Oryctolagus cuniculus: one gene and its partners. The protein of the gene in region 3 purifies or fractionates together with the protein of the main gene of each other region. This does not show direct contact. Links are inferred from orthologs where the notes say so. Each region holds a gene or a part of one and is shown on either strand. Other genes may lie near its edges.

The links. Proteins that work in one complex are often made in the same cells at the same time.
Region 1: the proteins of EZH2 (region 3) and ARID1A purify together in Homo sapiens (affinity purification with mass spectrometry; 3 studies listed by BioGRID, with this or other methods). This does not show direct contact. The link is inferred for Oryctolagus cuniculus from reciprocal best matches to the Homo sapiens genes EZH2 and ARID1A.
Region 2: the proteins of EZH2 (region 3) and USP44 purify together in Homo sapiens (affinity purification with western blotting; 3 studies listed by BioGRID, with this or other methods). This does not show direct contact. The link is inferred for Oryctolagus cuniculus from reciprocal best matches to the Homo sapiens genes EZH2 and USP44.
Region 4: the proteins of EZH2 (region 3) and CHD4 purify together in Homo sapiens (affinity purification with mass spectrometry; 5 studies listed by BioGRID, with this or other methods). This does not show direct contact. The link is inferred for Oryctolagus cuniculus from reciprocal best matches to the Homo sapiens genes EZH2 and CHD4.

The regions. Positions count from the first base shown.
Region 1 is NC_091438.1:144,722,227-144,726,590, reverse strand, and holds part of ARID1A (AT-rich interactive domain-containing protein 1A), read left to right. Parts: intron 1-75; coding exon 76-226; intron 227-318; coding exon 319-453; intron 454-533; coding exon 534-630; intron 631-1,046; coding exon 1,047-1,938; intron 1,939-2,281; coding exon 2,282-2,412; intron 2,413-4,364. UniProt on the Homo sapiens protein: Involved in transcriptional activation and repression of select genes by chromatin remodeling (alteration of DNA-nucleosome topology).
Region 2 is NC_091442.1:98,429,259-98,433,622, forward strand, and holds part of USP44 (ubiquitin carboxyl-terminal hydrolase 44), read right to left. Parts: coding exon 3,598-4,364; intron 1-3,597.
Region 3 is NC_091434.1:174,688,956-174,694,065, reverse strand, and holds the start of EZH2 (histone-lysine N-methyltransferase EZH2), read right to left. Parts: upstream 3,219-5,110; 5' UTR 3,202-3,218; coding exon 2,951-3,201; intron 2,486-2,950; exon of another isoform or gene 2,156-2,485; intron 1-2,155. UniProt on the Homo sapiens protein: Polycomb group (PcG) protein. Catalytic subunit of the PRC2/EED-EZH2 complex, which methylates 'Lys-9' (H3K9me) and 'Lys-27' (H3K27me) of histone H3, leading to transcriptional repression of the affected target gene.
Region 4 is NC_091440.1:102,921,884-102,926,247, forward strand, and holds part of CHD4 (chromodomain-helicase-DNA-binding protein 4), read left to right. Parts: intron 1-2,120; coding exon 2,121-2,472; intron 2,473-2,558; coding exon 2,559-2,647; intron 2,648-2,746; coding exon 2,747-2,880; intron 2,881-3,218; coding exon 3,219-3,363; intron 3,364-3,475; coding exon 3,476-3,641; intron 3,642-3,676; exon of another isoform or gene 3,677-3,812; intron 3,813-3,898; coding exon 3,899-3,996; intron 3,997-4,082; coding exon 4,083-4,212; intron 4,213-4,364. UniProt on the Homo sapiens protein: ATP-dependent chromatin-remodeling factor that binds and distorts nucleosomal DNA. Acts as a component of the histone deacetylase NuRD complex which participates in the remodeling of chromatin.

The DNA of each region.
Region 1 (4,364 bases), on a different chromosome or scaffold from region 3:
AGCCAGCCCAGTATGGATTGATTGGTCAGCCTGCTGGCCTCTCCCTTTGCTCACTGCCTTCCTTTCTGCATTCAGCTCCAGGGAATGATCCCTTCATGTCCTCAGGGCAGGGCCCCAACGGTGGGATGGGTGACCCCTACAGCCGGACTGCCGGCCCTGGGCTGGGAAATGTGGCGATGGGACCACGACAGCACTATCCCTATGGAGGTCCTTATGACAGAGTGAGGTAAGCATGGCCACTGCTCTTGTCCCGCCCTGGCACCCACTGCTCCAGCCATGATGCCCTCGAACTCAAACCACTGCTCTAATTTTGTCCAGGACGGAGCCTGGACTCGGGCCTGAGGGAAGCATGGGCACGGGGGGCCCCCAGCCGAATCTTATGCCTTCCACCCCAGACTCGGGGATGTACTCTCCCAGCCGCTACCCTCCACAGCAGCAGCAGCAGCAGCAACGGTGAGTGCAGCCTGGTGCGAGGGGGGCTGCGGCACTGGCTCGGCCCTCGCCTGCCCTCATCCTCAGTCTCTCTCCTGCAGACATGATTCCTATGGCAATCAGTTCTCCACCCAAGGCACCCCTTCCGGCAACCCCTTCCCCAGCCAGCAGACCACAATGTATCAGCAGCAGCAGCAGGTGAGGAGGGAAGCTGGGAATGGGTTCCCTTCACAGCCACCCTGTGGAAGTCTAAGAGCTGGTTTGGGTAGCTGGGTGTCCTCTCGCCCAACTAGCCAGTTCTGCCTGAAGAGCCGGGTCCTCAGTCTGGTCCCCCCAGTCCTCCAAAAGGGCTAGAAAGGGACTTGATTTTGATTTTTGAAGTTTTGCACGTTTTTTAACTTGGAGACTAGCGAGGAAGAAAGAGTGGTGGTTTCTTTGAGAAACAACTTAAGAAGATGCTTTGTAAAAGTGATTCCTTGTTCTCTTGGAGTCTTGAGTGCTCTCTTCTGAAGCGACAGATATAAGCCGAGTGTCCAGGTGTAGCATCCTAGCATCTGTGGGTTTTGTGTCTCTGGGGGCAGAGTATTAACTTTCCCTCTGCTTATCTCTTTTAGAATTATAAGCGGCCAATGGATGGCACATACGGCCCTCCTGCCAAGCGGCATGAAGGGGAAATGTACAGTGTGCCGTACAGCACTGGGCAGGGGCAGCCTCAGCAGCAGCAGTTGCCCCCAGCCCAGGCCCAGTCTGCCAGCCAGCAGCAAGCTGCCCAGCCTTCCCCTCAGCAAGATGTGTACAACCAGTACGGCAATGCCTATCCTGCCACTGCCACCGCTGCTACTGAGCGCCGACCAACAGGCGGTCCCCAGAACCAATTTCCATTCCAATTTGGCCGAGACCGTGTCTCTGCACCCCCTGGCTCCAGTGCCCAGCAGAACATGCCACCACAAATGATGGGCGGTCCCATACAGGCATCAGCTGAGGTTGCTCAGCAAGGCACCATGTGGCAGGGGCGTAATGACATGACCTATAATTATGCCAACAGGCAGAGCACGGGCTCTGCCCCCCAGGGCCCCACGTATCATGGTGTGAACCGAACAGATGAAATGCTGCACACGGATCAGAGGGCCAACCACGAAGGCCCGTGGCCTTCCCATGGCACACGCCAGCCCCCATATGGTCCCTCTGCCCCCGTGCCTCCCATGACAAGGCCCCCACCGTCTAACTACCAGCCCCCGCCAAGCATGCAGAATCACATTCCTCAGGTATCCAGTCCCGCCCCCCTGCCTCGGCCAATGGAGAACCGCACCTCTCCCAGCAAGTCTCCGTTCCTGCACTCTGGGATGAAAATGCAGAAGGCAGGTCCACCAGTGCCTGCCTCGCACATAGCACCTGCCCCTGTGCAGCCCCCCCTGATTCGGCGGGACATCACGTTCCCACCTGGCTCTGTTGAAGCCACACAGCCTGTGTTGAAGCAGCGAAGGCGGCTCACAATGAAAGACATTGGTAAGGAGAACTCCCTGCCTGGGTTGCTTAATCTGCCCCTTCCCACCTTGTCCGTTGTTTCTGCAAGCCTCATATTCTGGATAAGGTTGTATCTGGTCCAGTGTTGACTAAAAACCACAGAACTTGGGGTAAGGAAGAACTAAGCTGATGCCAGGTTCAAGGCCTTGCCATGCAGCGATGCCCCAGGGAGCTTAGACGCTGTGAGAGGCAGGTGTGTGTCATCTCTGGGTGAACCACCTTCCACCTCGTATGTCTCCAGAGTAGCCTGACTGATGGGGCAGCCCTGGGGTTGCCTCCAGCCAACCTGGGCTTGGTGGATGGACGACACAGAGGTTTATTTCAGGAACCCCGGAGGCATGGCGGGTAATGATGTCCCTCAAGTCTGGGCTCCTGGCAGAGAGCACGTGGGCATTAGACACCATTAACATCCTTCTGTATGACGACAACAGCATCATGACCTTCAATCTCAGCCAGGTGAGTACAGATTGCAAGGGCCCAAGGTCCTCTTCACACAGGTTAATACTAAATGGTACGGGGATGAAGCAGATGCCAGCCCATGTGGCCTGCCTCTCTCAGCCATCTTCTTGCTGGTATGCTGCTGTTTCTCTTGCCACTGGACACTGGCTCAGGACATTGAGAGCAGTAACAATTTGTGTATTCTATGTAAGAGACAATTACTGGTATTGGTTAAAGAAAAACTTGATGTTGGTGAGGATGCCATATTTTCTAGACCTGAGCAGAACTGAGCAGAGCAATTTCCCTGCTTTTCCCTCTCTCGCTTCTCCTCTTGAGCAGAAGAGGTCTTTGTTGATGCCAGGAGAGAGACAGAGAGAAAGGTGTTCCTTCCGTTGGTTCATCCCCCCAAGTAGCCACACAGCCAGTGCATTGCGGCTGGCGCGCTGCGCCTATCCGAAGCCAGGAGTCAGGTGCCTCCCCCTGGTCTCCCATGGGGTGCAGGGCCCAAGGACTTGGGCCATCCTCCACTGCACTCCCGGGCCACAGCAGAGAGCTGGACTGGAAGAGGAGCAACCGGGACAGAACCGGCACCTCGGGCAGAGGATTAGCCTAGTGAGCCGCAGCGCCGGCCCTTTGTTTGTTTGTTTGTTTTTTAGGAGCTGCTTGTTTTAAATGATCATCTTTGCTTTCATTTTACTTGAAAAGCAGAGGGACAAAGACAGATAGACGTCATCTATCTGCTGATTCATTCCCCAGATTCCACAATAGCCGGGGCTGGGCCAGGCTGAAGCTGGGAGACCTGGAGCCTCCATCCGAGCCTCCCCTGTGGGTAGCAGGAACCCAAGTACTTAAGCCATCCCTGCTGCCTCCCAGGGTGCAGTCGCAGGAAGCTGGATGGGAAGCAGAGTTGGGACTCAAACCAGGCACTTCACTGTGGGCTGTGGGTGTGGGCATCCCAGATGGAGCATAACCACTGTGCCCAGCTGCTGCCCACTTCCTCCCACACCCCATGCTTTTGTCCGTTTCTGAAAGGTGCTTGCACATTTGATTCTGCAGACCAGCACGTGCACCTTGAGTTTTCCCAGTAGCTGGGAAGAGTTTGTGCTGCACCATCCTACTCTTTGTTTTGATAGTCTTTAGTACCTACCATCTTGTTGATCAGGGAGCTGATGGGGCATTGTTACTGGTGGTGACTGCTTACTGTGCCCTCACTTTTTGGCAGACCATTAATAATTTGTTTCGTGTCATCCTCAGAGCAGGCCATGTAGTAAATAGTAAATGAACTCAGTCTCATCCTGCCCAGTGGGATACTTCCGATTCCAAAGCCTGACTTGATTCTCATTGTATGATATCGCTCCCCATGAGAAAGTAAAGGAACAATTCTGATGGAGCAATTTCCATGTGCCAGGCGTTTAACATATTCCATTCGACCTCAGAGCAACCCTTGTAAACTTTTAGGAATATTGATCATTTCATACAGCTAGCTAGTTCCTGGAAAAAACAGATTTCAAACTTAGATCTTTCTGATCCAAAAGCCTGTATTTTTTTCCACTCTGCTGCAGCCAAAGAGTAATTTGACTGGAGATTAATGTTTTCTTTTAGAGGTGTATGGCCTGTATAAAAGATCCAAGCTGGAATTTGGGTCTCCTTAGCATTGGCTCAGACCAGCGTTTAGAGCTGAAGCCTTATCCCACTGCAAGGTTCATGGAGGTGTACCTCCTGGAACGTCGGGGAGTTTGGAGAGGAGCGTACATACGTCTGTCCACACTGCACTCTCTTCTCTTAGCTCCTGTTGAAGGAGATCATCCCTCTGTGCTGTGTAGCTTGGGCTCAACTTGGTAGTGGCCTGTGGCGAGTGTCACAGGAAAGACAGTTGTGGTGTCCATTGAGTAGGAAAACCAGCCTGATGAAGAAAAGCAAAAGAGTGGTTGGGAAACAGAGACAGAGACGGGAGGCTCTGGCGGGTGAGG
Region 2 (4,364 bases), on a different chromosome or scaffold from region 3:
AGAGAGAGAGAAAGGTCTTCCTTCCGTTGGTTCACTCCCCAAATGACTGCTAAAGCCGGCGTGCTGCGCTGATCCGAAGCCAGGAGCCAGGTGCTTCCTCCTGGTCTCTCATGTGGGTGCAGGGCCCAAGCACTTGGGCCATCCTCCACTGCATTCCCAGGCCACAGCAGAAAGCTGGAGTAGAAGAGGAGCAACCGGGACTAGAACCCAGCACCCATATGGGATGCCGACACCGCAGGCGGAGGATTAACCAAGTGAGCCACAGCGCCAGCCCTGCTCTAAGAGTATTAATCTAATCTATAATTTAAGTAACAATCCAAGCTATGTATTCATTTAATTTGTCTATTATATATTATATGTGTGCATAAATATGTGTACATACATGTATGTGTGTATAAGTATGTATATATAAATATATATATACACACACAGGGTACTTCAAAAACTTTGTGAAAAATAGAACTAAAAGATCTTTCAAGATTTTTTTCACCCCAAATCCTAAAACCTTTTAACCCAATCCATTGTCTTAACCATAATAAAATACTATATTTTCATTTTCAGAATTTGAAGCCTTACTAATAATTTCAAATAACAGTACATATAAATAATGTCGTATTCCCCCTTATGGCAAATATCACATGAAAATCCTCATTCAAAGTCGTTAAGATGCCACTGGGAGTGCCCACAGCCCCTATCAAAGTGTCTAGGTTTGGGTTCCAGCTTCCTGCTCATCAGTGGTCTGAAAGAAGCAGATAATGGCTCAATTAATTGGGCCCCTGCCACCCACCTGGCAGATTCAGACTGGGTTTCCAGCTCCTGGTTTCCACTGGCCCAGCCCCAACTATTGTGGGCATCTGGGGAGTGAATCAATGAATGGGATATCTGTCTCTTCTCAAAATAAATAAATTACTCACCCAACAACAAAAACCCAACATGGAACAGTGTGCTAGGGGCCTACCTTTTGAGAAGTTTCTTTTCTTTTTTTTAATTTTTTTTTATTTATTTTTTTTGACAGGCAGAGTGGATAGCGAGAGAGAGAGACAGAGAGAAAGGTCTTCCTTTTTGCCGTTGGTTCACCCTCCAATGGCCGCCACAGCTGACGCGCTGCGGCCGGCGCACCGCGCTGATCCGAAGGCAGGAGCCAGGTGCTTCTCCTGGTCTCCCAGGGGTGCAGGGCCCAAGCACTTGGGCCATCCTCCACTGCCTTCCTGGGCCACAGCAGAGAGCTGGCCTGGAAGAGGGGCAACCGGGACAGAATCCGGTGCCCAGACCAGGACTAGAACCTGGTGTGCCAGCGCTGCTAGGTGGAGGATTAGCCTATTGAGCCGCGGCGCCAGCCTAGAAGTTTCTTGAATTAAAGAAAAAACTCATTCCAGCAACCAATTGTTAGAATTTCCTGTGAACCAATTTCCTAAGAGTTTACTTCATGTTTAAAGGAAGTGAAACAAAAAGCTTATATAAAAATTTCAAAATTCATTTATAAAGGGGGGAAAAACGGCACAGGGCCAGTCACATCTTTTGAACTATAAATGGTAAAAACAAACAAACAAAAAAAATCACCATTCTGAAAAGAAATTTGTCATTGCATCAAAGTCCTACCCTTTGACAAAGTAATTCTACTAGGACTCTGTTGTAAGGAAATCAGAAAAATAAATTTATCATGATATTCATTGGGGAAACTGGAAATAGTGTATAAGTCAACGGCAATAGTTAAATAAGTTATGGTATAAACTTATGATAAACAATGTTTTAAAAATATTCAAATATTTTTAGTGACTATGGAGTAGTCATTAAAGTATGGACTTTACAATATCAAATGAAAAAAGCAGGAAAATGTAAATGATTATGGAAAAAATATTTATTTACATGCAGGAGGAAAACCTGAAAAGAAATATACCAAAATATTTAGTTCTGTTTATGGATTATGTGATTTTTGGGATTAGGTAATGAGTTTTTTTTTATATAAATTTCCTGTATTATGGGAATATAGGTTTTCTACAACTATATATTTCACTACAGTATATTTTAATACTTTTGCATAGAAAAGAAAACAAAGTTGATAGGAAAATTAAATTGCATGGTATACAACAAGTATAACCTTATTTGTTAACTGGCACATTGCAGAATCTACAGTTTTGAAATATTTACCAAAATAAAATTCATAGATATTACTTAAGAATTACATCCAAATATTCTAAAGAAGTATTCTATAAAATAAAAGGTGACATTGTTGCAATGCAGGTTGAATTCAGGAAAGGTGGAAGGTATGCAAGGAGAAGAAAATGGCCTAAAAATCTGTCTCAGTTTTGAGAAATGTTTTTAAGTTTCGTGCTATGGAAAAGTAGAGAGCCTTACGTCCAGTAATTATTCACCAACAACTCTACTCATTATAGAGAATCATTAATCATATGGAAGATTCTAGTTTTGTAATCTCCCTTTCCACAACAAATCAAACTTTAACCTAGTAATTGAAATTAGGATTGTTCTAGATTTAAACAGTTTGGTCACCTTAAAATTTCCCCATCTACTTGTTAAAACTATCAGACCTTGATCCTTGGCCCTTTTATCAAGTGCTCTAGGTCTACTCCTTGGACCTTGAAATTGCTCAAGTGTGCACCATATCCATTCTTAATACAGCAGCATGGTTAAACCTTTTACTGCTAGGACCAAATACCTCTTCTTAACACCTTGGAGAATCAATGTTATACAGGTTGAGTATCCCTAGTTAAAAAATCCAAAATTTGAAATGCCCCAAAACTAAACCTTTTGGAATGTCATGCTGACATACAACAACTTTCAGATTTTTAAGCATTTTATCTCATCTACTTAAAAGGCAGAGTGACAGAGAGACAGACCTTACATGTGGTGGTTCACTCCCCAGATGCCTACAACAGCCAGGGTGGGGCCAGGTCAAAGCCAGAGAACCAAGAACTCCATCAGGGTCTCCACATGGATGACAGTGTCCCAAACACTGCAGCCACCATCTGCTGCCTCCTTTGGCTGCATTAGCAGGAAGCTGGATAAGAAGTAGAATACAGGTGTCCCAAGCAGTTTAACTTGCTATGCCATAGTGCCTGAGATTTTAGATACTGAATCCCATATGGGCACTGGTTCATGTCAAGCTCTCTATTTATGGCCTGGGAAAGCAGCAGAAGATGGTCCAAGTGCTTGGGCCCCTGCACCCACATAGGAGACCCGGAAGAAACTCCTGGTTCCTGGCTTCAGATTGGTTCAGCTCCGGCCATTGTAGCCATCTGGGAAATGAATCAGCAGATGGAAGACCTTTCTTTCTCTCTCTCCCTCTGTAACTATCTCTCAAATTAAAAAAATAAATAAATAAAAAAGTGCTTCTTGATTCCTCGCTTCCCCCCACAAACTTTTGATAGTAGGGACATGAAACTTTTTCCAGGGATTCATGAAGGAAAAGAATTGTAAATGAGTGAGTTGACTTCTTTATGCACTTTTATAAAACCATTAATTTTGATCTAAAAACTGTACTACCTTCAGCATACTAGATGCACATAGACTATGTCGTGTTTTATGCTTAACTTTATATAAATTCCCTAAGATGAAAATAGGATTTTAACAAATCCATACCTGACTAAGAAGTTGTCCATGAAATATGTTATTCACAACATTCAGAACTTGCTTGATAAGTTTTCTTTGGGATGTGGGGATAAGAGCTGGTAAGCTGGTGCCAGTTGTCTCCAGTTCATGTTGTATTTTATCTAAAAGTTCACAAAGAAATTCCTGAGCATCCTGTTGGGCATAACCACGAAAAGCAGGAATGAGTCTCCACACTGAGTGTAACATAGCGAACGGTGAGACCAAGGCCCACTTTCCAGACCACATGACTTGGAACAAAGTATGTAATTCATGACAAAGAGAAATGTATTGTGAACTTGGCTCCCTAGCTTGAATAAGTTCCATCTTTCGACTTTTTGATGCTCCGCCACTTAATCCTGATGATAAACTTGGATGTCTGGAGCGAACATAGCCTATATCCTTTTCCTGGCATTCATTCATTTGATGTGCTACTGTATCTGTTACGGCGGGATGCTTATAAGATCTGGTCTTATCGCTGGTAGTCACAGCCAGCCATTGGTTCAGATCAAGCTTTAAAAAACATTGTCGAAAAATAAGTAAGTGACTCAACACTTGAAGAACAGAATTCATATAGCAAGTGTTCCCCAAATTTCTCAATCCTGTTACACCAGGAGTTACTTCTGGCCTTCTGTTAACTGAGGAGTCTCTGACTTTTTTAAATGTTCCATCTTCCGAGGTAGGTAGCACTTTATGTTTTGCTGGTGATGATGGATTCTGTGGTGGTCCTTGAACAGGAACTATTTCTACCGTGGTGGACT
Region 3 (5,110 bases):
TCCAAAGTTCTCTATAACACAAATATATCCTGATTGCTTTGCAAGTTCCTCTGTCAAATGATTTCCCTATATTTTCCATATTCTCTTAATTCGTTCAATTATTAAAGTCCGTGTTTTCTAGCAACTGCCAACGTAAGTGCTAGGTATATATTAAGAAAAATAAGAGAGCCTCTGCCTCCAGGCAGTTAGAATGCAGTGAAGGAGCCCAATGCATAAACAAGTGATTACAATACAATTTGATACATACTGTAATAACAGTATGAACAAAGACTTCTGAGAACACAAGAGTGCCTGGAAATTGCGGGAGGGCCTCTGGAAGGTAAAGTTCATCATCTGATCAGGAACCATTCTCTGAATTTAACAAATTGCTTGTCTCCACTTATGCTCTCATTCAAACTAATGGTTTCACCAATCCATAGAGAATTCGTCATCATTTACAAAAAATGTATTCATCAACAATACACGCATAAAGACTTCAAGGATAACTCATATATCATTTCTCAGTGACCCCCAAATTCATTGTATGATCAACCGAGTTGTCAGTTTTTTAAAAGAAGCAGGCCAACTTTCTTACTCATGGCTCATTTAAAGGTTAATAATAAATTAAATTTACATCCCTTGAGAATGCCACTTCAAAGGATAAAAGATATCCTGGAAAAACTCCAGTGTGACCTAGAGAAATCTGCCTTAAAATTTTTAAATGGCCAAAACAGACCATCATTTATATGTACACGTGCAAGCAAAGCCAATATTAAAGTATTTTTGTTTTATCTAACTACACTAAATCAACAAGTGCTTTTTATATTGCTACTTAAACTAAGTAATTCTAAATTAAAAGATTCATAAAGCTTTCAAAAATAATTTAAAACAAAGTTTAAACCAATTTCTCAGACTTTTTTAAAAAATATCTATGGCAAGTACAGATAGTGATTATCAAATACAGAATACACAAGGGCAAAATTAGAATTTCTTATCCTAAAATACCAAAATTTCTGCCAAAAATCTGCACAACTAGCTCATAACAAAATACCCAAGGTTACTACTATTTTTAAATACATAATTGTCAGCAAATAACATGGACGTAAATGTGATTTCATAATGTCAACCCTTAGAGTAGCACCTGGAATGTGTTGCTCAGTGATGTCCAAAACGCTGCAAAATAGATGTAACACAAAATTTTAGACTGTATTTGTCTCCATGTCTCTAAAACCACAAGTTAGTAGATGCTTATTTGACCTTCAGATAGAACACTATGTGATCAGAAGATAGCCTATGTTTTTCTAACTTCCTTTCTTGGAACATATTCACTTTCTACAAAAGTCAGAATTTAAAAGAGCAATTTTCTCTAAACATTACATTCCCCAACACACCTCCAAAAATGGAGAATAGAATTCTTTATATCTAGAGTAGAACAGACTAGAATCCTGTATGCCTAATTTTAAGGGGATTATGTACAGGAAATTAAAATATGCCCTAAATATTTTTTATTTTCTTGCAAATAAAATTAAATAAACCAGTTAAGACTATATACTTGTTCTGCATTCTTCTAAGTGCTCAATAACAAAGAGTAATAGAAAATAAACTCCAAAACCCACGTATTGACAACACTCCACTATTCCAGAATTAGTCATTTTTAAAGGTTTAAGTGCTATGTTATGTGACATTAAAACATCATAAAATTAAACCTAACTTCTTGAAACCTAGAAAGTAAACCTCATAGTAAAACACTTTAAATAAAGATTCTTATTTCCAAATGAATCTAAATTTCACAGATCCTGGGTGAAAAACAAAGGAATTTTAGGTTAACTGTGGGCAGCATACATTCAATTTTTCAAGCAACGAACACTTCTGCATCCAGTCTTTTCAGACTCACCAAAGCTATTGTTCAGGGAAAGCAAGACCAACTAGTAAGAAACTGCTAACCCTAGAGCCTAAACACATATTCGGAATGGGCATTTTATCTGGATCACCTATTTCTACCATCAAATCTTCATTCAACCCCTCGGGATTGGGAAATAATCGCCGACTAAATGACAGTTGACTTCGTTAGCACCTGTCGCCAGTCCCAGATGTACCACACAAGTTAGTCAAAACAGCTTGTAATTTCTTAGGAAAAAAAAAAAAGAGTATGATTCTTTAAAAACTGGGAACTCACTATGCGTTCACCAAGTTTTCCGAAATCTCGCGCTTCGTGCGTCCTCCTATTTCCAAAAAGTCACCCCGCGGCAGAGCCGTGCTGCTGAGTGGAGGGGGTCGCACAATGAAGCGGGAACTCCACAGAACGGCCTCGGGGCGAACAAAACCCGCGGGGCGGACGCCAGCTCCGCGCTGCCCTCAAACTTCACGCGCAGCCCGGCGGGGAGGCGCCCCCAGCCCGGGTCTGCGGCGGACGCGGGGTCTCCGGGAGACGTCAGACGCCCAGCTCCTCCGGAGTTCCCACGTCGCGGCCGCTGCCCGGAGCCGGCGCGGGGCGGGACCGAGCCCTGCCCACCCGCGCCCGCGGCGCCCCGCGCCCCCACGCGCCCGCGGCCGGGGACCCCCGCGTCCTGCCCTGCCCTCACGCCGAGCTCTCCGGAGACACAGTCCGTCCTTTGTCTGAGTGCGGACTCGCGGCTCGCTCCCACCAACTTGTGTGTGTCCCGTCCCACCCGGGCGCTCCCGCGGCCCCGCCACACAAAGGAGACCTGAAGCTCGGGGCGACCACCCGGACCGGGCACCGGAACGCCCCCGGCCCCGGCGCCCCGGCGCGGGCAGCCCCGGCGCCGGGAACCCCCCGCCCCGCGCACGCCTCGGCTCCCTCCTCGCATCTCCGGGGAGGGTCCGCGCTGCCCCGCTCGCGGGGTCGCGCGGGCCGGCCCGCCCCTCACACGGTCCCCCCAGAGGGGTCTCCCCTCTCCCCTCCCCCGCGCCCGCGCGAGCGGCGACCGGGGAAGCCCCGCTCGGACGATACCGGGGACCGGCAAGGAAGCGGCGGGCAGGTCCCCGCGTCGCCGCCGCCCTGGGTCGCACTCCCGGAACCCCGCCGGCCGAGCTGCCGACAGCGCGCGTTACCTTCGTCCCGCGCGCCAACCCGCACCGCTCCCGCGCACCGCCCCCGCGCGCCGCCGCCGCCGCCGCCGCCGGGGCTCCACTGCCTTCTGTGTCCCACTGGGTGTCGGACGCGACCGGACCGAGCGCCAAACGCGACAGCCCAATCGCCATCGCTTTTATTTGGCCCCCCCAGTCCAATCAAGCGCCGCCCCGATTGGCGGGATGCGAGGCGGGCGCTCGTCCAATCACAGGGCCTGCCGGGCTCGGAGGCGCCGAGCGAGCCCCACGCAGAGCGCGCTCGGGACTCGCGGGCCGGCGGGCGCGCGGGTGCGCGTGCGCGCGAGCGGCGGGGCCCGGCCTGAGGGACGCGGCTCACCGTGTGGAAGCGCTGCCGCCGCCGCCGCCGCCGCCGTCTCTTTGTTCTTTGGCTGAACGCTCGGCGCCTCTCGGGAAAGCGGTGGGCACGGAAGGCGGGGACGGGGCAACTCTGTGGGGGCCCGGAGGCCGCCGCCGGCAGAAGGCGGGAAGGGTGGGGTGGCGGGAACCGGCTGGAGGGCGGGGCTACGCGCTCGCGGCTCTTGGCGGGAACCGGCGCCGTGGAGTTCCCGGCGGGGGAGGGGCGGGCGGCGAGAGCCAAGTTTGAACCAATTCAAAACTCGGGGGCGGTAACGGTTTTAACTGCCGCGCCGATTTCCCCGCGCGCGGCGCGCGGAGCGGAGCGGGGTTGCGGCGCCGAGTTTACGGGCGGACCTGCCGCGCGGCCTCGGTCTCGGGTGCCCCGCACGCCCGCCCCCCGGGAGAGCCGTCACTTTTACTTCGGTCTGAGGCGGCCGCTTTCCCGCCCGCACTCGGCTGGACTGAAGCCGGCAGAGCCTGCGGTGCCTACCCGTAGAAACCTGGGGCCGAGAGGCCGGACGGTTAGGGCCCCTTTGTCGTGGAAAGCGCCCCTCTCGGACCCTTCCTGGTGATTGTCGTTCCAAGCACGTGCCAGCGTTAAAATGTGTTTATTCAGGCTGCGTGCGGTTCACGTGCCTCACGCTACGTCTCTGCAGAGTATTAAAGCGATGGCAGCGTCTTGGGGTGGTTAGAAAGTGATGGGGGGGGGGGGTGTTAACCTGCCTCAAAGGCGTCAGAGATAAACTGCTTAGGGTACAATCTCTCCTGTGCCTTATCTGGCGACGAAGTTAAAAGTATTCCAAAGTTGTTTTCCATATGATGCATCTGTAGGGCAAAATACCCTTTTTCACTGGGATCCCACATTGGGAGATCAGGCTGGGAATTTTTAAAAGGTCAACTATGGACTGTTGGGTAAAAAGCCTAAAAAAATGTTTTATGAATTAATTTTGTAAGTTAGCCCATGATTTTCCCATCTTTGCTAAATCAACATCTAATTCCTCATATATTCTGAACCAATTAAGTGCTGGAAAATATATGACAGGAAGCCAAAAGAGAAAAAAAGCAATCATGTGCCCCCGTAAAAGCCAAATTACCTTACAAATAAATGTTGGAAAGAGTCCAGAAGTAGATGTTATGCCTCTTCAATGTGACTATAAAGTAGTGAACTCTGTTAATGTCACCAGTACATATCATTTTCCATGGTAAAATGTTCCCATCTAGACTTAACTATTTAAATCTCAAAAATTAACTACTTTTACCTAGATTGCTTATCAAATTATTGATTTTATCTCTCCTTTAATATGTATTAAAACAGTGGGAACCTTATTTAAATATTTATTCATTCATTTATTTGAAAGCCAGAGTGACAGAGATCTTCCATCTGCTGGTTCACTCCCCAAATGGCTGCAACAGCCAGGTCTGGGCCAGACAGAAGCCAAGAGCCAGGATCTCCATCCTGGTCTTTCATGGGATGATAGGGGCCTAACACTCAGCCATCCTCTGCCACATTCCCAGTCACATCAGCAGGAAGCTAGATCTGTGGTTGTCACAGGCTGTGGTTTCACCAACCATACCATGACACCAGCCCCACATGGGAGCTTTTTTTTTTCCCAGAGAAAAATCGAAATTTTATTAGGGACTATCAGAAAGCAAATCGAAGGAATATATAAATGAATGCAACAAA
Region 4 (4,364 bases), on a different chromosome or scaffold from region 3:
CCGCTCCCCTTATTTGTTTGAAAGAGTAGAATCTCTCTCTTTTTTTTTTTTTTAAACTTCTTTTCCATTTCTTGGTCTTTTTTAGTAAAAACCAAGAAACAATGCACAGGTGGTGATCTTTTCCCTCCATAAATGATAGAGTATTACAGTGAAGAATGAGGGGCTGCCGTTGTGGTGCAGCAGGATAAGCGGCCCCTTGCAATACCGCCATCCCACAGCAGAGTGCCAGCTGAGTCCTGGCTGCACTGTTTCTGATTCAGCTCCTTTTAATGTGCTGGGAGGCAGCAGAAGATGATCCAAGTACTTGTGTCCTGACCACTGGTGTGGGAGACCCATATGGAGATCTTGGCTCCTGGTTTCAGCCTGGTCTGGTTGTGGGCACTGGTGAGTGAACCAGCAGATGGCTAATCTCTTCTCTCTCCCTCTGTCTCTCCCTTTGCCTCTCAAATAAATAAATATTTAAAATATTTATTGAAAAATAAAGTTTGCTTTCTCCTCTGGTCTCCGTTAAACCATTGAACTTGGGGTTCTTTGAATTGGCAGAAAGAGGTATTTGGTTATCTCTGACATCTTTTCTCATCCTTTGGACCCAGAAACATTCTTGTGTTTTTCTCATTTATAACTGTTGTCTTTGCTCTTGAAGGTGATGCTACTAACCTCAGTTTATGTGTGCCTGTGGCTGAAAAGCCTGATGTAGCTCTCTAGACCAGCGGCACTCAATCAGAATCGCCCTGCGTGCCTTTCCGCAGCAGTGCGTGCACCTGGGCATGCTTGACTGGGACAGCGAGTGCCCACTTGGTCATCTCTGCTCGTGACTGCACGAGAGTACAAGTTATTGTCGGGGTAGTGACCACAGCTGCCGTGTACTTTGAAAATAGTTTTCAGTTTTATTGTTTGAATAAGTAGTAATTCATATGGTTTAAATCTCAACAGATACAAGGTGGTCACATGGCTCAGTTTCAGAAGACACAAAAGTATCTCACTCTGTGCTCTGCCTGCCTACTTTCCTTCTCTGGGGGGAGGGGAAGCTGATGTTCAGCTTCTTACCTGTCTCGCCAAAAATATTTTATGTGCCTACAAATTATACATGCACATGTTCATACCATATGTACACATATGCACACATCTGTATGCACACAAACACCTTGTTTACTTTTAAGCACAAAAGTAATTCATGGTATGTAATGTTTTCACCTTGCTTTTGTATACTTAGTGGATCTTGGAGATAAACAGGAATCAGAACATAAAGACCCGCCTCCCCCTTATTTCTCGCTGAATATTATGTCCTTGTTTGGAAGGACAGTGTTACTTCCCTGAAATGCTCGGGACCAGAAGTGTTCCAGATGCTGGAGCTCTCAGATCTTGGAATATTTGTGTGGACTTCGCAGCTGAGCCTGCCTGATTGGAAAGTCAGAAGTCTGAAATGCTCTGAGATCTGAATCTTCTCGAGAATCAAGTTTTGGATTTTGGATAAATTTGTATTTTGGGTTTCAGTTAGTTGCATAATGATGGACCACCTGGTTTGTTTTTAATATTATGCTATTAGCACTAGCTTAATTCTAGTATAAAAGATTAGGAGTTAATCAGCGATCATGAAATGTCTGAAAATTACAACTTCTATAAGACTTTCCGAGAAGCATGAGAGGATATATATAATCTTGTTGTTTTGTTTTTGCAGATAGTTGGTAAACTTCTGTGAAGTTTATGAAGAGCGCAGGGCTTGTGGCCCTTTAGTTTTCTCTCTGAAGCTCTTTTGCAGTATTACAGAAGCCTCCCCGCTCTGCCTTGCTAACCTTTCTTTCCTTCCTCTTGTGCCTCCCAACTCTATGCGTCTCAGTGGAAAGGGCTGGAAGAAAGCACACTGTCCCTTCCTCCCTCTCTTGAGATCACAGCTGTGACACGTGTGCTTCTTCAGTGTGTTGACTCCTACTCCACGTAATTATGAGGCGCCGTGTGCTGTCCATTTAATCTGTTCTAAGTTCTTAGGTCCCAGCAGGCATGCCAAGTACTCGAGAGGCCAGTTGTGAAAAGGAGCTAGCAGAATGGGAACCGTGAGGGCCAGGGGTAGCTGGTGGTGCTGAATTCAGCACCCCTGAGTCCTGGCCCACCCTCTGTCCCAGGAGGAAGAGGAGGTAGAACGGGAAATCATAAAACAGGAAGAAAGTGTGGATCCTGACTACTGGGAGAAATTGCTGCGGCACCATTATGAGCAGCAGCAAGAAGATCTAGCCCGAAATCTGGGCAAAGGAAAAAGAATCCGTAAACAGGTCAACTACAATGATGGCTCCCAGGAGGACCGAGGTGTGTGTGGCCGGCCCCGCCCCCCACCCATGGGCCGTTCCACTAGAGCAGTGGGCCCCGCTCATCTGCCCTCTCTCCCTCCAGATTGGCAGGACGACCAGTCCGACAACCAGTCCGATTACTCGGTGGCCTCAGAGGAAGGTGATGAAGACTTTGATGAACGCTCAGAAGGTGAGGGCTGTGCTTTGCTAGTTGGCTCAGTAGTGCTTTATGTGCTGTCCCACCAGTGTCACTCACACACCCCTTTGTTCTTGCAGCTCCCCGCAGGCCCAGTCGCAAGGGCCTGCGGAACGATAAAGATAAGCCATTGCCTCCTCTGTTGGCCCGAGTTGGGGGGAATATTGAAGTAAGTGCTGTACAATTCTATTGGGGTGCCAAGTGCTGGTATTGTGTCTTCCATGAAGTGAGACCTGCTCCCATTCACCTGGATTTCCTTTCCCCCCAGGTACTTGGTTTTAATGCTCGTCAGCGAAAAGCCTTTCTTAATGCAATTATGCGCTATGGGATGCCACCTCAGGATGCTTTTACCACCCAGTGGCTCGTGAGAGATCTGCGAGGCAAGTCAGAGAAAGAGTTCAAGTGAGTTGAAGGCCAGGACAACCAGTCTAGAGCAAGGACTTCTACTGTTGGGTCTTTGCATGGTACTGGTCTGGGCTGTCCAGGGAAACAGGCTCTTTGCTTTGCTGACGTTGGCAGGTGAAGCTGTTTGTAATGGGAGTTCCTGGTTTTTGTAGCTTTCCTGGAAGAGAACCTGGGGGGCTATACAGAGCCTGCAGACCAGCCCCCCTCCCCGTGTTGGTGGGCTTTACTTCAAGGGGGAGCCGGGTCATTGCCTGTCAAGGCCTAACTGGTTGGCAAAGGTCTGATCTAGGAGTTGCTGCACTCCCTGTTTAACTCGTTTCTCTGCATTGCTACAGGGCCTATGTCTCTCTATTTATGCGGCATTTGTGCGAGCCGGGAGCAGATGGGGCTGAGACCTTTGCCGATGGTGTGCCCCGAGAAGGCCTGTCCCGTCAGCATGTCCTCACTAGAATCGGTGTGATGTCCTTGATTCGCAAGAAGGTGAGCGTCGAACTTCTCTCCATTAGTAAAGGTTTCAAGGGAAACTGGGGGCCAGCAGGAGAGGAGCCTAGGGCTGGACTTGGGTCTTCAGTGTCTTGTCCTGTGGTCACAGGTTCAGGAATTTGAACATGTTAATGGGCGCTGGAGCATGCCCGAACTGGCTGAAGTAGAGGAAAACAAGAAAATGTCCCAGCCTGGGTCGCCCTCCCCAAAGACTCCTACACCCTCTACTCCTGGGGACACACAACCCAATACTCCTGCACCTGCCCCACCTGCTGGTAAGTCTGCCTGTCGTGTCGCTTTGTCCCTGTCTCTGTCCTGGCCTGTGCCTCTCCTCGCCTGTGCCCAGTTCTCACAGGGGAGTCCGGCGGGACACACAGTACTCTCCCTCTCAGTTTAGGAGGCCGTCCTAAGAATGGGGCTGGTTCTTAAAGGCACGAGAGGACAATTTAAGATGAGACAGATGGGGGAAGGCGTGGCCACCTCTCTGATCTATGACTTCCTTCCTAATTGATTGTCTCCTGTTGGTCTGCAGAGGATGGGATAAAGATAGAGGAAAATAGCGTCAAAGAAGAAGAGAGCACAGAAGGTGAAAAGGAGGTTAAACCTGCAGCCCCCGAGGCCCCCATGGAGGTGAGAGGCGGGGTGGCCGGTGCCATGCTACAGGTGGATAGACGCTAGCCTGTCTGCTTCATCTTCTGTCTCTGTTTCTTTTGAAGTGTGCACAGCCCTCTGCCCCTGCCTCAGAGGATGAGAAGGTCGTTGGTGAACCTCCTGAGGGAGAGGAGAAAGTAGAAAAGGCAGAGGTGAAGGAGAGAACAGAGGAGCCTATGGAGATGGAGCCCAAAGGTAACCCCATTTTCTTTTCTTTTTTTTAAGATTTATTTATTTATTTGAAAGGCAGAGTTACAGAGAGACAGAGAGAGAGAGAGAGAGGTCTTTCATCCTATGATTCACTCCCCAAATGGCCATATGGGCCAGAATTGGGCCGATCCGAAGCC